Linked DNA regions of Oreochromis niloticus. The protein of the gene in region 1 interacts with the protein of each later gene in a biochemical or structural test. Links are inferred from orthologs where the notes say so. Each region holds a gene or a part of one and is shown on either strand. Other genes may lie near its edges. The genes, in order: mapkapk2a and zfp36l1a.

Region 1 (9,836 bases):
TCATTTCAAAACTACCAAATATTCTACATAACAGTTTAAATTTACCTTCCTTGAGTAGCCATCCACTCCACCAAAGATCACAACATTGTACCTGTTTCAGAGGGAAAACAATCTCACTAAGGCTTGATTTGCAGAACATGTAAGACATTGAAAATACATTTTTCAGTAACCAAACTTGCCACTGATTTAAACTGGACACTTGTCAGGTGTGCTGAAAATAATACCAACATTTTTATATGTGAAAGTGGATAAGTTCAATGAGACTAAATATTTTAGTTCCCTTGTCATGATTTTTTTTTAAGTTTTCAGTAGCACTTACCATATTATGTGTTGATAGGCTTGTTATCATGGAAAATATCGATATACAAAGTGTAAATAATTGCTCAAGAAAATTTACAATTAACAATATTACTGCTTTTGTTACACATCCTGTAATCCTTTTACTTAATATTACAATATGAAGTGCTTTTTAAAATATTATAAACACACTGAAAGACCTATCAGATAAGGTTGATTAAAACAGATTTAAAGTATAACGTGCATCTTTCTGCCCAACTTTTATTAGAGCTATATAAGTGGGTATTTTACCTTATTAGCTTGTGATTTGTGTCTATGTGGACAAGGGAGAGAGGGCCTCGCACCGAGTAGCTTCTTCGCACAACACAGCCTAGTTCTGTAATCCGTGTGAAGATCCCAACAGCATCAACTCGATGCATGGAGGCCATCATTCTCCACCACTGAACACGGAGACCCATAGAAACCAAATGTCCTTGAACCATTCGATAGCCAGCATTTGGCATCTGATTTTGATAGTCGATATGATGTTGTCCAGCTCTTGGTCATTCATTGTGCTGTATGTTCCTCTCACAGACAAGTCAAATTCTTGCATCCTCCTGAAGATTGTTCTTCTTGAAACACCAAGACATTTAGCGATGCAGCTGACTGGCAGCTGAGTGTCCAACAAGTTCTTCAGTTTTTCTCTCTCTAGTACGATTTTGGGGTGGCCAGGTCCCAGACCAACTTCTGTTTCCAGTTCAATAATTCCCACAGAGGTGATGTTAATTTCACACTGAACCAGATGATGAACATTTTGTAGAGCCTCTGTAATCTCTGACAGACCACCTATTTGCTGAGAGAAAGATTCAAACAGAACAAGCTCATGACGAGTCAAGAACTCCAAATAATCCAGATTTAGTGGTTGTTGGTTTAAAGCAGCTTCCAGTTTAGAGAGGAGTCTATGCATCATTTGCTGTCTCAGTATGTCCTGTTAAAAGCAGCAAACATGGACAAGTAGTTAGAAAAATACAATGAAATGACGTATCTCAGACAAAAATAAACAACCCATAAAACGAACTACATGAGGTACATCATTTTTCAAGTTTGCATAGTTTGCAAATTAGCTAACGTCAGTTATCAAGCGAATAATAATGTACAAAATGATTTTATATTACTTACATGTGGCCGGGACATGTTGTTTTCGTGCTGCTGTTCAGTATTCGACGACATAAAAGAGAGCTACTCAAATATAATTTGGAGAGTCAGTTGGCATGGTTGTATAATGCAACTACATTATACTACACCAACGATAGTCTTAACAAATAATATATTTTAAAATAAAATAATTAAAGATATTATCCGCAAATTGGGGTTAAATTGAGTTTAGCTGGATTTAGCTACATTTCGGACTGTTTCCGGAATGCAGCAGCTAGCGAGCTGATTGGAGACTGTAAGAGCCAATCAGAATTTTTGAAACCAAGTCTGTGATTGGTTGGTTTTGTGGCACACTTATAACGGTGTACAGAGAGTTGAGCGCTTGCAGCAGAGAATGTTGTGAGCGCAAGCAACACATTGCGAGCAAGCGCAAATGAAAAAACTGAGCGAGAGGGGGTGCTATTGTGTGTGTGTATATGGATAAGCGCAAACACTGAAATACATTTTTTGCACGCAGCAATGAATTTTGTTCACTCAAATTCAGCTTTTGTACGCTCAAAATAAATTTCTCCTCAAAATGCAACACTTGCACTTGCAATATTTTTTTACGTGCGCTCAGAATAGTGGCACTGAAATAACGCCATAAAGGTGCTCTATATCTTTTATTATGAACCTGTGTAACATTTCCTGTTATTGGCTAACAGGAGTGACACTTGGTGTGGTCTTCTGCTGCTATAGCACAGATGCTCTTCTGCATACCTTGACTGTAATGAGTTACTGTCTGTTTTCCTATGAGCTCAAAATGCGCTCACCATTTCCCTCTGACTTCTGACATCAACAAGACACTTTTTTTGTCCAAAGAACTGCTGCTCACTGGATATTTTCTCCTTTTCAGACTGTTTTCTGTAAACCCTAGAGATGGGAAAATCCCAGTATATCAGCAGTTTCTGAAATATTCAGACCAGCATGACTGCCACCAATAACAATAAAAGTCACTTAATGATCTTTTTTAACCATGTCTACATGGCTAAATGCACTGAGTTGCTGCCATGTGATTAGCTGATTAGATATTTATGTTGATAAGCAGCTGAAAAGTTGTGGTCAGTGAGCATATGTCACTAGAATATAACGCGGCATTTCTACTTAATTGTGAGCCAATTACTGGCAGATGAGTGTATGTGTGTTTCCATTTAAGTTTTTTAATAATGTGGCGCTACTTTGGATAAACCTTTAAAATCTTGATTTCACACATTAAACATATCTTAGTGGTATTCTCTCACTTCTGATGGCAGTGAAGTAGACTTTGATTTCATTCAGCAACACGAGCAGTCAAACTTTATCCTACTCACAGAAAGAAAGTTAACCAAACTGACCTGTGACTGATGGAAGCACAATGAGAATGACCGCATGAAGTTTTTTATACTACATATGAATACTGCAATAATGATTGTGTTCTATTAACATTCTAATTTTTATTAAAAGGTACTTTTTAAGTTGAAATCTTCAGAGGAGGTGCAGCATGATTGAAATAAACAATACTTTGCACAACAGGAAACCAAAGCATATACATTGTTGGAAGATCGTGTTCCAAACAGATTTTTCAGATTGTTTTTAGATTTGGCTAATCACCGTTTAGCCAAATCTAAACACAACTATATTAGTATCCTACATACCAAAGCATTTCAAGGGAAAAAGCTTTGCAAGCTCCTTAGATCACTGTTAACATTTTAAAAAAAGTTTAAATAAATAAATTAATGTTAATGTTATCCATATTGTACAATGTACACTTAATATTCTTCTCCGGTGAGATTAAAAGCACGATATAATATGCTTTGAGGAAAGCGTTTCGTTAAGACTTGTCTGCCATCTTCTGGTAAAAAAGAGGCGCTGCATTCAATTTATAGCTTATCTACCGCCATTAGTTCCGGACCACGTGCTTGACTCTGTAGTAAGAAATTAAAGTGGCAGAAAAATAAAGGGAAATATTGCACTCATCTATTTGTGCATGTTTTTGTTTGTTTTAATTGCAGGCTCGCTGTTATTAGGCCAAGGCCAGCACCACACCATATTAACTTGAATAGGGAACCAATAAGTCACTTTGCTGTTCCTTTGGGAACCCCCCCCAATCTCCCCCAGAAAGAAAAACAACAACAACAACAACAACAACAAAACTGCTTGCACTCATACACTTTATCTTTTTAATATTTCAGAGGCCAAACAGGAGACCTTTCCTCCCGGTGCAGAGGTGCATCAGTGAACTCACCAGAACAGCTGAATGTGAGCGTGGAATATCCTCAACAAACTTCCGCTTGTTTCAGAACTGTAGAGGAGGGTGACGCTTTAAAAGTAGCTCACCAACCTCTATTCTAGATTCAAGGACATGTGAAGAATACATCCCAAAGTCTGGGAAAGATGGAAAGTGGACTTCCTTAGGTTTCTGAAAACGTGTCACCACCTCATGTAAGAGGTGTCTTCAGTTCTGAAAATAAAGGATGGAGAAACCCAGGTATTTATCCCCTAGTGCCTAGTGGGATTTTTCTCCTTTGGAAGTAATCCTGAGGATTATCACATGAGCCAAGGTGTGAAAAAAATGCACAGGTCAATACCATCAATGGGGGTTAAGGGTTAAAACACTGTGAGACCTTACCCCACCCTATTGAGGTCACCTGAGGCAAGGTGTGAGGGAGGGTTAAAGAGCCAGGGAGGGGATATCAAGACTGCATTGTAGGTGGCTGATAGCTGGTGTTGTAAGCTACCACTCCTGTTCACCGATGGCTGCTCACAGTGGACATAGATGACCTCCTGTACTCCTCTTTCAAATCATCTGTCTTCTTGGTCTAAAATGTGGACATTATCATCCTCAAAAAGTGACCTTTATCCTTTAAATGCTGATGTGCAGCTTGGGTCAAGTGTACTAGGGTTTCAAGACATGGGTCTCTCCAGCCTCTTGGATGATGTCTCCACTAGCTTAAAGAAGTCCAGCTTCCTTTTTTTAAAGCTCTTAAGACTACCTTGACATGGACGACTGAGAACCTACATAGACTGACCTGCAGAGGCCCATCTGTTCAGTTTCCTCCTCAGTCATGCTGGTTACCACAAGTCTTCCCTTATCCTAATATTTTTTGTAATCACTTCTTTTCCACAGTTATTGTGTTGTCTTATTCCCTTGCAGATTAGCAACACAATGTATCCATCAGTCCTCTGAAATACAACAATGTTGCAATGATTTAGGCTGTCAGAGACTAGCTACGTGCTGTAAAGGTACCAGAGTTTAATGAAAAACTTACGGACCAAAACACCCTGTTATATCTGTGTTTTGGGTTGAAACTGGAAATTGTATAACCTCAAGGAAGTTTTCATTTAATAATTAGAATGTAAAAATGATTAAAGTGATTGATTGCATGGGCTCTCGCTAGCATTCAGTGCTGCTTTTAGGCAAATAGTAAGGTTTCATTGTTTGACAATCACAATATTAGTAGTTGCATACAAAACATTTTATATACTGCTGCCCTTTGACATTTGCATACATCCAGGAAAAAGACAAAGCAAGATAGTGATGTGTGTACAATCCTGGTTGCTCTGTAACTTGTATTTTCAATACTTTCATGCAGATTTGGGTTCTAATTTACCAATATCGCGCCTTTCCCAAAACAAATCAATGTGTAAGTAGGAACAGCAGAATTAAAGGCACACAAGCCCTAGCACTGAGGTCACCTATAGCACTTTGGTCCTTCTGGTCAGAGATTAGTGTCTATTTTCGTCCCTGTCCCTGTCCCTGTTAGACTGCTAATAAACTCTGGAGGGGGATCTCTTGCCTCAAAGACTGGCAATTAAAACCCGCGTAGCGCTTCATACTGTCATATAGGAAACACACAATAAAAATGCAGATTACTCTTTGATTATCTTTTGGCAAAGTAAGTCTCTGTTCTTGTAAACGCCTGTGCGTGTGCCCTCTCCTGGCCGACGCTCCAGTCTGTTGAATGAATCCAGCCGTTTCCTCTGGTGCACTTCTCCTTTAAGCGCCGAAAAAAAGCCCCGGCCATATGACGTCAGAAGCTAAACCTGCTGGGTGTCTGTCCGTTGGAAAGTGAAGTGTGTTTGTCGTGCTATTGCTATCGGAGTTTTTTCCCCCTGTGTTGCCTGTCTTTCGTTAAGTGTTTCTGTTGTTTTTGTTTTTACTTCCCTCGAGGGGTTTCACGGTATCGAGTGAAAAAAAACAAACCCTACCGCTGTTGCCGCCTTAGAGGATGTTTTAGAAAAGTTCCTGAAGGGTTCTTTGAGGAAACCGGTGGACGGCGGACACCACCGGAGATGGATAAGCTAACCGATAGCTGAGTTGTTAGCCGAGAATCACAGAAAAGACTCGAGCTAGGATGCTAATAGCTAGCTAACTTGGCATTTTACCGGCTAACCGAGTGACTTTGTGAACCTGTATCGTTAGAACTACTGCCAGATTTTCCTCGGGCCTGGACGCGACGCGCTGAGCAGTTTGTCAGAGGCCAGCTAACTCAGGAAGACTCGGTCTCTGTATTAAGAACAGTATTGTTGAGGGGAGGCTGCTTACCTCTCAGCCTAAGACTATGAACATGCTATCAAACTCACAGAACCAGCCACTGTTTCCCAACCCGGCGGGGCAGCAGAACCCAGCCGGGCAGCAGAACCCTTCGGGTCAGTTCCACTCCTTCCAGCCCAGACCCACCTTACAGATCAGGAAGAACGCAATCACTGACGAATACAAGGTGACCAGCCAGGTGTTGGGGTTGGGAATCAATGGAAAAGTGCTCGAAATAGTACAGAAGAGCACTGGCGACAAGTATGCCCTAAAGGTAGGTCATATCTGTAATGAAGCAACGCAATTTTGTACAGTAGTCCATCTTTTGTCCAGCTATGAGTTCATGCAGTGGTCACTATTTTGCAATTAAGACTTTTAAAGTTCAATTCTACATATCTGGACGCTCTAATTGGAAAGCAGAACCAATCACACGTTGAGCAGTTCATTTTTGTCCCACAGTGTCGTTTTTAGACTTATTATTTAGACATATTTCTCCTTGTTTGTTCTCCTGCAAAGTATTACATTTAGCCTGCTGTTTGGATAAAACCTATCAGGACCTCAAACTTTTAGGAAATTCGACTTTTAGTTTGCTTACATTTTACAGGAACCAAATTTCTAATTTTTTTGTCTTTCTCTTCATTAATGTGGTAATGTTGGTAAAAGTTAATCCACGAATTAAATATTTGATCACCTTTGTCAATAATTTCTTACCCTAAAATATAGCCCGATGTTGTCCAACAAGTGCCTTTTAACTCCTATTATTAGAACATGTAACTTCATCGCACTAAGGTGGTGCACAAGCAAATAGTGAATTGATACACAACAGGTATCTCGCCAGTTCAAGTGTGCAGTGCTGCTTCTTGTGACTGGAGGCTGCTGTGTGATGTTAAAGCTGTTTCTCAATTGTGGTTTTTTTTGGATTTCACATTGTTATTGTTTTACGTGTCACCCACTTCCACCACTTAAGTAGTAACAAGGTAGAATGTCATACATAGCTTTAAAAAAAAAAAGTGTGTATGAGTGGGGGGTAGGGGTTGTTAGGGTTGTGGCTGTAAAGTGACACTGCAGTATCAGGATCTACCTCTTAAGAGATCATTTTCTGTATTGGTCAATCATTGATAAAGGACAAACGTCACAACAGCTATACACACACACACAAGTGACTGAAATGTTATCCAGTGAGGCCAAATATCACAGAAGGCTTTTTTTCCATCATCATGATAGGGAGTATAATCTTAAGATTCTCAGCATGCATAACTGTTGCACAGTCCTCCACAAGTGAATGAGTCAGGGAAAGACAAGATGAAAAATACAAATCTAAAACCTGAAAAAACAGGTGACCGCTTTCTCTCTTTCTCTGTGTGTATGTTTCAAACAGCAAATTCCACACAAGCTCCCACGCAACCATCAGTGAGCCATGTTTTTGTTTGTTGTTAAAACACTTGTAACAAGTATAAACTTAGAAAGTCATGTTGAACTTTCAGGCCTTCTCAATTGTCTTCTCAGCTGTCTTGTGTGAGCAGGGGCATTATACATTGATAGCGCTGCATGTAAAACTATAGCTGCCTTTTATGTGAATATAGTTGTCATTTTTAAAGTGGAAGTGGGCTCAGTTCACAGTGCAGTGTAAAACATTTCTAGTAAAGCAGTATTTAATATCCAATAGAAGTGCAAAGGTGAAAGCAAGTTGGCACAAGGTTGCAACTTCCCATGATTATTGTTGCAGTTGATCAGTAATTCATGCCCTTCAAAAATCAGTTTTGCGTTCACACTGTGAAAAATTTTCCAAGTTAAAGGTCCTCAGATTACACAGAAGTGGGCTGAAATTCTGTACTTAATTTTTTTCCAGGATTTTTGAGCGCTTAAGGCTGAGGGAGTAGAGAAGTTTTTTCCAAGTATGATATAATATATTGGGTCATTCTTTTATTAAATCTTAGTCTTATTAGGTTTGACTGAATGTGGCATGAGTGGGGTCCTGGAGGGTAAATTCAGTTGCAAATGCTGTCAATTTTCCATCAGTTTCAGACCAAAAATATCTAAATTCTTTCTCAAAAGAAGTACAGAAAAGATATATGAACTGCAGCTGGTAACTAACTAGTGTTAGCTAGATTCTGTTTCAGAAGTCAGCAATTCATTTTAGTGTAACATTTTGAGAAAAGTAGTAACAAAACCGTCATACTTTGATTAGGTTAATTATATTCATCTTAGAATATGAATATAATTAAATCCATTTCCAGTGTCAATTTAAATGATCCAAAACTGAAAAATACTTTGCACATCTGCCTTATAAGATCAGTGCACTAGAGAGGGATAAATGGCAGGCGGTGAGAGGGAGACTTACAATTGGTAATGAAATCATTTTGTTTACATCATTGTTAAATAATTTTAATGTTGTAATAATAAATCTATTTTCTTAATTTACTCAGTACCAAAACTAGAGATGTTCCTGGCGACTAATAGACCTTTTCCACTAGTACCTACTACCTGCTTGGCTGGACTCAACTCCGTTTTGCAGGGTTTTCCATTATGTGGTAGTACCTGGCACCAGGTACCCACTTGGCCTAGGTTCCAAGTGATCTGAATTAATTCAAAAATGTGATGTCAACAGACTCCATGCCACTGATTGGCCAGTTATTGTTGTCACTCAGTGAATCATGAGAGCAGCTCCTTCAAAACCACAATCTTTTTGAAACCCAGCAACAAAGGAAAAGGCTACACAAAAAACAATATCAGGGTTAGCAGAATTTGGCGAACCAAACTTAGCAATGCTAGCAGCAGTGGCCTTCTTCCATGCTAGCATTCACACCCTGACAAACGGCCACTTCTTCTTTTTTTTGGGTGACAGCCATGCTAGCCGGCTGTCATCTGTTTACTTTACCCCTTGCTTGTTTGCAACTTCCCTTCAAAGAAAAATTAACAGACAGAATGGGGGTTGCATCTGTCTGTCAGAGCTACAGCCCAGGTTAGTGGCCAGTGGGGTCATAACATCTTTGATCCTCTAACTGCTTTTTTTTTTTTTTTTTTTACATTAGGTCCTTGCCCCTTAGAGACAATATCTAAATACCTCTCCTGTATCCTTAATGGTATGTTTTGACACATCACTATATGTCAATAAAGATGTGGTTCAACTAATTCTGACATCCTTAATTCTGACATTAGAATACCAAATACCAAACTAGCAGAGGTATTTACCAGCAATTTTATCAAATCTTTATTAAATGCTGTTTTGGGAAATTTTCTTTGCAACTGTAAGGGTCTTAGACTGGTCTGGCCACACCGCTTAACTGAGAAATGGTCTCACCCCTGAGCAATAAACTCCTGAACCAATCCATTAAGCAACTACAGACTATTCATAGTCTCTAACACTGGAACACCCCATTAGATTGCAAAGGAGCTTTCTTCTGCTGCCTAGTAGTTTTTTCTTTTCTTGTTTGTTTGTTTGTTTGTTTTTTACCAACTTTGTTTAGCCAAAGTGACAGATACCTGTTAAATTGCATGCATTAATGACTAGCCAATCTGTTTATTCACAAAGTGTAGAATATGGTTCATGCAAAATATTCATTTTTTCACACAGCAGCCCAGGTTGTCAGTAGTCTGGTACTTAAACTGATCCAGAGCTGCAGGCAAACTCCTGAACACTGTCTGCCTTGCAGAAAATTAACTGCTAGGTTGGGTTTAGAAGTAGGTATCAGTTTATATAACTCGAAATTAGAAATTCTAATGGCTTTGCTTAACACTAGCGTTTCATCTAAGTTTCTCTGTGGGGCAGGGCATTCAGGACACTCCATGAGGGATGGTCCATGGCACCCTGAGCTCCCAAAGACAGGTTCCAGAGCTGTGTTTCACCTAGAAC
Region 2 (9,185 bases), on another chromosome or scaffold:
CCAATAAATATGTTCTGATAAGTTAAATAAGCAGTGACACGCAAACCTTCTGTCTGGAAAGGTTCTCAAATAATAATAACCGTAATAATAACATTAATAAAAAATAATTATCAAATAAAGAAAGCAAAAAGGGATGTAATGAGAGTAGAGAGCTCCACGGAGCAGGTTCTAAAGTGAAGGAGATGGGAGGGGAGGGGGACAAGTAAAGTAAAATAGCTTGGAGATCCGATCTTGTCAAGTCATGCGACATATAACTATATTATGGGAATGCTGGAATTCCCCGGATCGGTGAAGATGAAGGTGTAGGTGCTGGGGGCAGGACAAAGTCTTGCAGGTTTAATGATCAGTTTGATATCAACTTCCTTCCCAAGGAAAAAAAAAGAAACAGCCAGTGACCAGCAACAGGAGGAGAGGGGGGGGCCATAACCAACTTCCAGTTCAAAGTCCTTCCTGCAGACTCACCCGGTTCAAAATTACATAACACGGGGCTTGACTGAGGGGTAGAAGGAGGTGGGTGGGGGCAAATGAGAAAGAACCAAAACAAACAGTAGTCCATTCACCCTAAACACATGCAGAAACTGCCCAGGCACTTTTTTTTCTCCATTTTTAAAAAAAAGAAACTATTCATATATTTTCAGGGTCTGTCATTTCTCTCCATTTGTCTTAACTCAGTCTGTAAAAACGTCTGCGGTGTAGAGCTACAGTTATATTACTGAGCACCCTCTAGCAAGCTCAGGGGAAGTGGTATCATCAGGGAGGATGGCAGGGGATAGAGGGGAGGGGTTGAGGGCTAGTGCAAAGCACTCCCCTTTCCAAGGCCACTTGTGCTGCTACACATTCAAGAATACATGAAGAAGAAAAACAAAAACAAAAACAAGTGGCACCTGGCATAAACAGTCAATTCTTGTTCTCATCATTTTCATTGTTCAGTTTCCTCTCCTTTTTTTGGCACTATGACACATGGCGGGGTACTTTCTTTTAAAACTTGCTGTGCAGATTAAGCGGGAAGAAATGATAGATTTAGCTGAGGGTTCCCTTAATTGATTATATCCTCATAATGCTAACAAGGAACTAACGTGATGTGTAAGGGAGCTTCGAGGGCAGAGGGGAGTTTGAAGGGCAGAGGTAGAGGGGAGTGCCATGTTCTTTGTGTCGTCAAATTTAAAAGTCACTGGTGGATGCGTGCAGTCTAGTCATCAGTGATGGAGAGGCGGCTGAAGATGGGAAGGCGGCGGGTGTTATCCAGCGTGGGGGACTCTGAGCCACACAGGCTGCCACCAGAGCTGCTCTGGTAGCCTTCTTGATCCGACATAGAGTCTGGGGGGCTGGATGAAGACTCCAACATCTGAGGGGACTCCAACATGGGTCTGAAATAGTAAGATGTGCTTGTTGGAGAGGGAGGTGCAGGGGTGTTGGGCTCTGTGCCTACAGGACCGGCATTGAGACTGGGCCCGAACAGGCTGGCCAGCTCCTGGCTGGAATAGGTGAAGGGATTACTGCTGGGCCAGTCTGGGATCTCATCGGGGAAGAACATGGGTGGAGGGGTGACTGAGGTGGGGCTGTCTCTCAGCCCAGCTGAGTTGGAGAAACCGGCAAAGCTGTAGCTGTGCTGCAGCCGAGGTCGCTCCATCTTGTTCATAGAGTTAAGAGGAGAGGACTGCTGGGGAGGTCCACGACGCTCCTCGGCATTGTGGATGAAATGGCAGCGAGGCCCGTATGGGCAGAAACCGATGGTGTGGAAGGTGCGGCACAGCTCAGTTTTGTACTTAGGATGGCGGCTCAGGCTGCGCAGTTCATGGATTCCGTGAGCAAACTGGCATTTGTCGCCATATTTGCAGGAACCGTTCTCCTCAAAGGGCCTGCAGAGCTCTGTCTTGTAACGGCTGGAGTTCACTTGGCTGCTGCTACCGGTGGGACTGGCAGGGCCCAGGCACTTGTTGATGAGCCTCTCGCCCGTCTCGGAGTAGGAGCGGTCTCGCAGGCGGTTCTCCTTGTTGTTGCTGGCATTGCCAACCCCTGAGATGAGTGAGGAGGACTGGTCCGCTGCCTTCAGGCTATTCAGAAATTGGTTCTGGTTGAACTTTGTGCTGCTGACAGAGTGCCGCCGCTGGTACACGCCTCCCACTGAGGGAGATCCCACCGCCTTCCTGTCCAGCAGGGGTCCGGCGGAGCTGGAGATGGGCACGTTGGTGCTAGTGCAAGGAACAGACATGGGATGGGAGACACCCAGGTTGTTGTTGTAGCTGAGAAGTTTGTTCTGCAAGAAAAAATAAAGTACAGAAAACACAAGCATTAGAAAAAGTAGAGCACAAATAAAAAAGCTACTTTCAGCAGCTCCCTGATTTTTAAGTCCGATTGCCATCCTGATGCAACTCCTGAAAGTGACTGAACGCTTGTTAGGCGAGCCTATAAACCATTTGTACAGATACTCTCCCTGAATAAATAAATAAAAATGACGGGCACTGTGGGACTGGTGGGGCTACACCTCCTGCATGACTGTTCTTTTTTGGCTCAGACGACATTAGCGGATACAGGCCTATAGAACAGCAGCTGGTTTGGCAAGTTGCCCAGGTTAGGAATGTGTGCGCCTGTATCGTCAATAGGACAGCAGCAGCAGCACATGAGAGGCCTGTGGGCTACCAGTGTGGGCTACAAAGACCCTGCATCATTTTGAAAGAGAAAGAAAGTGGCCAAACATTCTGTGGATTACAAGGGAAACCTGATCTGCTTTCACACATTTCCATACTAGTGGAAATGAACAGTTAGTCATGATTTACATAAACACGACAGTGTAAATGAAATCCAACAAACCCCAGAGGGAGGCTAAAAGAAAAACAAAAACGCTCTGAGAGGCAATCTGACACTCAAAACGTGAAAATGTATGAAAACGAATTGCGCAACAAGTGTTAAGGTGAGACGATGCCGGTAGTTTAAGTAGTTTTATAGGGGCAGAAAGTGGGCTAAAGCCAGCCAAATCTGGTCAATGATTAGCGAGCATGTGGCTGCTTTGAAAGCAGCATTAAAAGTGGCGCAAAAGTGATCTCATTAAAATAAAGAGGACATAAAGCTTTCACTTTAACAGCCGCTGGTTGACTAAACTGCACACCAGCCTCGCAGCATAAACCATATAGATTAAAGTTAGCAGATGTGGCGCATGTTGAACATTAAATAAATACACAAGTAAATAAAAACACCATGTTTTTAAATAATTTTTAAATTAACGCTCCCGCAGCGCTTCGGTCCACTTTGAAAGCGCTTATAGCGTAAACCCTCAACAGACGAGGCCGAAGAGAGGAAATAACAGACGAAGCAAACAAATAACCACGCAGTTGAGTCAAAGCGGAATACAAAGCGATAAACAGCAAAACAAAAACAGCCTCCGAGCAGCCGGCAGAGGGCCGCGGGCACGGAGCTCGTCATTCCTCCACAGCGGCTAACTCCCCGCTGCTAACAGGCTAATGTCAGCTCACAAGACCACAGACAGATACACAGAGAAGGGGGTGGAAAAAGTTAGGAAGCTACCTTGTTCATTACTTCGAAGTCGAAGAAAGGCGATACCACGGCTGTGGTCATCTTTGCAGCGACCGGAATCAAATCACAAAAGTAGTTTAAAAAAAAAAAAGAAAGCCAGTCTACTTGTTAGAAAGTTGCTCAGAGCTACTGAACTCTCCCCCTCTGCCCTGCACCAACCCCGACATTTGCTTTTTAATCAATCGACTGCAGGGAGGAGCTTCGAAAAACGGGCGTGAACTTTCAGTAACTTTAGTAACTGTAGGGAAAAAAACCTGCATTGGTTTGTCAGTTTATGTGAGATTACTCCAGTGCTGGGTGAGGTTTGAATGCCAAACAGTCTTAGGCTACCAGTCAGGAGGGACAACGCACTAAAAACAAGTTTCTTTTTCTCTTTAACTTCATCGGAGAATCTGAACTGTGGGTTAGATTTGTTAAAAGTTGATTTTGTTGGAGGGAAAAGTGTCTTCAGTTCATAATTAAGCAGTTTAAATATATTTATATCAAACTAAAGTCCAATCAGAAGCCTTCAAAGGCATGTGAATAGGAGTAGTGCAATGGAAATCTTGTACTTCTGGAGTTGTTTACTGTATTATCCTCGGGGTTTCAGCTACCATCCACTACTCTGTAATTAATTTACTCTTAATTGCTGGACTGTAACGTCACTTGTGGGACTTTCCGGTGAATTCAGGCACTTTTAACTCTTTCCCGACCACAGCTATTTCACTGTTACAGCATTCTACTTCCAGCCACAGCTCATTTGTTATTCATTACCAGCAGGTATAAAACTCCTCTTCTGAATTGAATATGTGCATGTCATTTCATCAGGTACTGTAGGCGACAATCTGATACATGAGTGATCTCACTAGATTCAACCGCAGTGGCGTGACAGACTACAGAGAGTGAAACCCATACAAATGTATTGTGGCTCATCTTGCCCACCCCCCTTCATAAAGTCTATGACATCGGCCATGTGCAGGCCCTAATGTCAGGGTTGGGTTGCAGTAGAAAAGGAGAGGAGGGAAAAGAAAAGCGGGGTTGAGGAGGAGGGGGAGAAGAAAAGAAGCTGTTAACATACAGAAAACAAGAAGTTGGAGTATGGAGGAGGGGATGATGGCGTGAGGGGGAGATTTATGGGGGACGTTTATTACTACACAGCATTGCCCCCAGGGAAGTGAGGGAAGAGGGGTGGGATAGAGAGGCAAAACATTCCCTTTCCCCTTCCTCTTCTTCTTTGCCTATACAGGAGCCATGCAGGGGGAGAGTGGGGAGGTGGAGAGCTTTGTCTTTCACTGCTAGCAGCCCTGAAGGAGGCAGGGAAGTTGTTTTTGCACTGAAATGTTGAAACGAGCTGAAATAGAACAGGCCAGATTACACCACAGCTTCTCAAGCAAGTATCTGACTAAGGCCTCATGAGCTGACCTTTTTGGAACTCAAACATCCTCTTCTCTATGCATTAAGAAAAGTAGATGCAAACACCCGGTTACCCTGGACCTTGTCAGTGAACAGCAAGGGTGTGTGTTGGAACATAAAAAAAAGAGTTTTACGAGCCAGGCCTGTGCAGAGCAATCTCCCCCTGGAGTGTTTTCACAGACGACAGGGTGGGATGACAGACTTGCTAGAAATCTCGTCTGCAGTTCAAAGGGCCTGTCACTGATTGATTAAGTGGGCCAGATCGATTGTCCCTCTAAGGGAGAAACAGAGCGGGGAAGTAGAACGAGAATCACTTTTTCCCACCCTTTTCTTTTCATTTTGCAAATGCAAAAATCCCAGAGCTCGTGTGGGAATTCATAATATGCAACACAAGTGAAGAATACGCTCATGTAGCTGTGATGCAGGAGCTGGAAATTTCACTGTAGATACTTGCAAGGATTTAAAGCGCACAAGGTCAGCAGGGCTCTAAACTCAAAAACAAACTACCCACTGACTGATGGAAATGCCTTCATACTGGACCTTGGCCTTAAGAAGCCTCATACAGTGCATTTGTTTATTTTTAATACTCTCAGATATATCGTGCCTGCTGATATTATTGTGTGACTCAGTTGTCCTTCCAGGTTTAGGAGGAGGCACCTGTTTCCTGCCAAAATGAAAATATATAGAAAAAAAGTCAGCCTGCTGTGCTCTCAGGGGATTTAGTCAGATGCTTTAAAAATGGAGACAGTAAACCACTGTAATAACTACTGACAAGACTTTAACACAATGCATTGCAAAAAAAACCTGCATTATTTTAGTCTGGACTATCTTTCCTTTAAAAAGAAAAAAGGATCTCATAAAGAGTTTGAAATCCAAATATTTTCTGTTGTCACAAATGACAGAAATCTTGCAAATAAGGTGTGTAGAAGCATCATGACGTTTTCACTGACTTCCAAAGGTACAAACACAAAAGGCGCAATCCATATATCAACTTCTCTGTCAGTATTTTCCTCTTACTGTTGACTGAGTTGAGCTCTCTCTTAGGAGACTTGATTTCTGAGGTTTTGTGCTCTCCGAGGTCAAGGCTGTCCTCCTTGTTTTTTTTCCCTCCAGGCTCTGCTGGAGCTGGAGTCGGTCACTCCTCAGCATGTGCTGCGTCGTTTGATTTCTGCCTCCTGCGCCGTTGACTTTGATGACCCCAAGCTCAGAAGGGAGGATGGGGATTGAGCTTGAGGTCACTGATAATGTTTAAGTGGGATGACAGGATGTTAAATTTTTCATCTATCAGTACTGGAGATGAAAGAAGTCATGGAGGAGAACAACAAATAAATGGGAGGTGACTGTTGTGGCAACGATTTGCTGCAGTTCCTCCCTGCAGCCAACAGAGGGCAAAGTTCTTCCGCTTCTCTCTCCTCTGGTCTCAGCATTTCCTATTTAACTCCTCTATTTTTGTGCTGTATTTTAAGTCTTTGCACGTTTGCCTAAAACATAACTTTACCTCAACAGAATAGTTCTACATTGAGTGGGAATTTCTAAGATTAGACCAGCAGGTCAGCTCAGTCAAACACAGCTCATTCGTTGTGCGGCTTTGAGGTAATTTAGTGCTCAGTACAAACTTGTGAATTGTGTAATCAGCCTTTCCACAGATACACTAACACTGGCCTTGTGTGAAGCAAAGGGACTTATCAGCTACAAAACTCACAATTACTCAAACTAGTATTGTGGTAATCTCAAACCGTGCTGCACCACATCCCAGTTAAGGTGACCACAAGCTCATTAAACAATGTATTAAAGAAGAAATAAGTAGTATTTTTACTTTTTACTGCTGCATGGTGCATAATGTGTATTCCTGGACTTGATAGGGTTGTTGATGAATACCAGTCACTTAGTGGTTTCCACTTAGTGAGATTTGTGCCTCACTAAACAGTCATCCCCCCACACACTTGCATTTTCAATTCCTTAATATTAAGGTTATTACTGTATATGCAGCTGTGAGTGGAACATCTCTGCTTCGCAAGAAATGTATTTTCAGTTTGTCGCTGGCACATCTTAGTTATTTCTGCCAGTTATGGGAAAACAACCTTTAAGAGCTTACCAGGGCCGCTGTAGGTTAGATTTGAGAAGAGGGGACATAGTCAAGGTGAAAAAAAGGTAGTTGCCATTTGTGTTGTAGTGTTGTAGTTGTGTTGTATGTTTTCTTCTAAATAGAAGAAAAACATACAGATTTCCTTAAAATGCATATTTTTATGATAGTCACAAGCATTTCCTCAATGCTAAATCCAACTGCAAAGTGTGTGTTTTTTCAAATATTAAGGACTTTATTTGTTATGTTATTAATGCTTAAGTAAAGGTAGTTACAGTGTATCAAATCAATGTTCAGAAGATGGTTGTATTAGCATATTTTTCTTTCTTTCTTTTTAAATAACAGATGGAAGGTGACCTTTATTTGAGTACTTAAGCCTGAGGAGGAGACACTTTTAAGTGCTGCATTTAGCTGTAATTTAACAACATGTTATTTTAACCTCAATTAGAATATACTGAACTACTTCTTTGCTATAAATATGTGGAAACATCTGTATTGGAGCACATTTGTCCTCTGAAAAATAAAAAAAGTGGAAGATAAAAGAGTTTAAGATGAAAAAACCAAAACAATGATTTACGCAGTACATATGCTTTTTCACTACTGCAAATGTACTGCAGGAATAGAGTCAGTTGTGTTTCTGCTTCTATTAAAAGTCATTGCTTACTCAACAACTTCCTTTTTGTTTTTCATCAGGACAGCTAATCACTCTGCTGACTGTTGAGTAATCAGTGGTCAAGGATAGTCAAGTTTGAGCAAAAAAACCAAAACAAAACAGACTTTGATTCCTTGAATATGCTGTCATGTGTGATCTCATATTTACTGTGATCCTGCACGGGTTTTGTTTCTGTATCCACTGCCCACTTCCAATTTGTGTGATCCTGTCCTTGTCTGTATAAGCCTTGACAGCCAGGACACCATGATTGCTTCCTTTCATGTTTCATGGTATGTTTGCCAAATTCATATGGGAGGACTGTGGTCATCATGCAGGGTGAACCTAGCCTCAGAGGAAGAAAGTTTAGGGAGAGAGAAGGATTGAGGGAAGGAGGAAAATAAGAACAAGCAGCGATTAATTGTCCATAAGAGTAGCCACAGCATTGTTAGTGGTAAACCGCCAACTGCTCTTGCTGATCTTGTTCCCATGAATCGCTCCAACATGCCCATCCATTCACTTCCACTGCCCTTCATCTCACACTGGGTGGGATGCGGCATCAGTGCTAGCCCTGGCTCATTTTGATGGCTTTGACACGTCACAGCATTACATTCATGACCGGAGTTCAAAACAAACACCATGTTGGAAATGTGAGTCTGTGGTTCCTTTGCTGCCAATTTACAGCGAAATAGGAGAAGAAGAAGAATGATGTTTTGGTAAATGCAAAGTCGCAAAAAATAGCAACAAAACAAGAGAGTGAGGGGTCAGCGTTTAAAGAAGATTTACTGCCCAATTCTCTGTTGACACGCCAATCTCTAGAGGACGGTTGTATTTAGAACGAAAGGCTGGCTTCCGCCTCTGACTTCCTGACCTGCGTTTCCTGAGGAACAATCTTTCTGTCTATGCAGAGGGCTCATGGGAAGGGATAGTTTGGTTTTCCACACACACATTGGGGGTCACGACAGATGAAGCCGAGGTCAAAGCCATCAAGCTACAGAAATGAGTTGATGACCACAGCGATGTGATGCATAATGCATTAAACTCACAGTACAACGATGGCACTTAGGCCAAAAAAGTTAGGGACGCAACGATGAATCATGGTGATTGTTGTGACCAGATCCGACCGGACTGGACAGACCTGACCCTGGCCCAGGTGTCATGACCATGCAGTGGACGCTGAAACCAGATATTCCTCAGCTCCTCACTCAACACTCGCAAAAAATCAATGGGCTTTGTATAATGTTGGAACAGTGGAAAGCATTCTCTCACCCCAAAAAAATCCTGCCCTTGTCCCATCTGTCTCAATTCTGCAGCTCTCCCAGACCCCACAACCAGCCCTGTGTGGTCACTCCTGGACTAGAATTACAGAGTCCATGTGTCCGGACTCTGGACAGTATACAGAGTCAACCGCCCGTGTGATCCTACCCACTTTCCTCACATGTTATCCCTGCGGTTTTGTTCAATTCGAATTTTGACAACTGCTCGCCTATCGTGAATGAGCGTTGAAGTGCGAACTGATGGTTTTCATTA

The links.
Region 2: of the proteins of mapkapk2a (region 1) and zfp36l1a, one has a biochemical effect on the other in vitro, tested with the Homo sapiens proteins (2 studies listed by BioGRID). The link is inferred for Oreochromis niloticus from reciprocal best matches to the Homo sapiens genes MAPKAPK2 and ZFP36L1.

Annotation. Positions count from the first base shown.
Region 1 is NC_031970.2:25,083,408-25,093,243, reverse strand, and holds the start of mapkapk2a (MAP kinase-activated protein kinase 2), read left to right. Parts: upstream 1-5,465; 5' UTR 5,466-6,011; coding exon 6,012-6,257; intron 6,258-9,836. Other genes in the region: uncharacterized protein LOC100707221, read right to left, coding at 46-91, 589-800. UniProt on the Homo sapiens protein: Stress-activated serine/threonine-protein kinase involved in cytokine production, endocytosis, reorganization of the cytoskeleton, cell migration, cell cycle control, chromatin remodeling, DNA damage response and transcriptional regulation.
Region 2 is NC_031983.2:18,971,979-18,981,163, reverse strand, and holds the start of zfp36l1a (mRNA decay activator protein ZFP36L1a), read right to left. Parts: upstream 3,705-9,185; 5' UTR 3,574-3,704; coding exon 3,523-3,573; intron 2,258-3,522; coding exon 1,190-2,257; 3' UTR 1-1,189. UniProt on the Homo sapiens protein: Zinc-finger RNA-binding protein that destabilizes several cytoplasmic AU-rich element (ARE)-containing mRNA transcripts by promoting their poly(A) tail removal or deadenylation, and hence provide a mechanism for attenuating protein synthesis.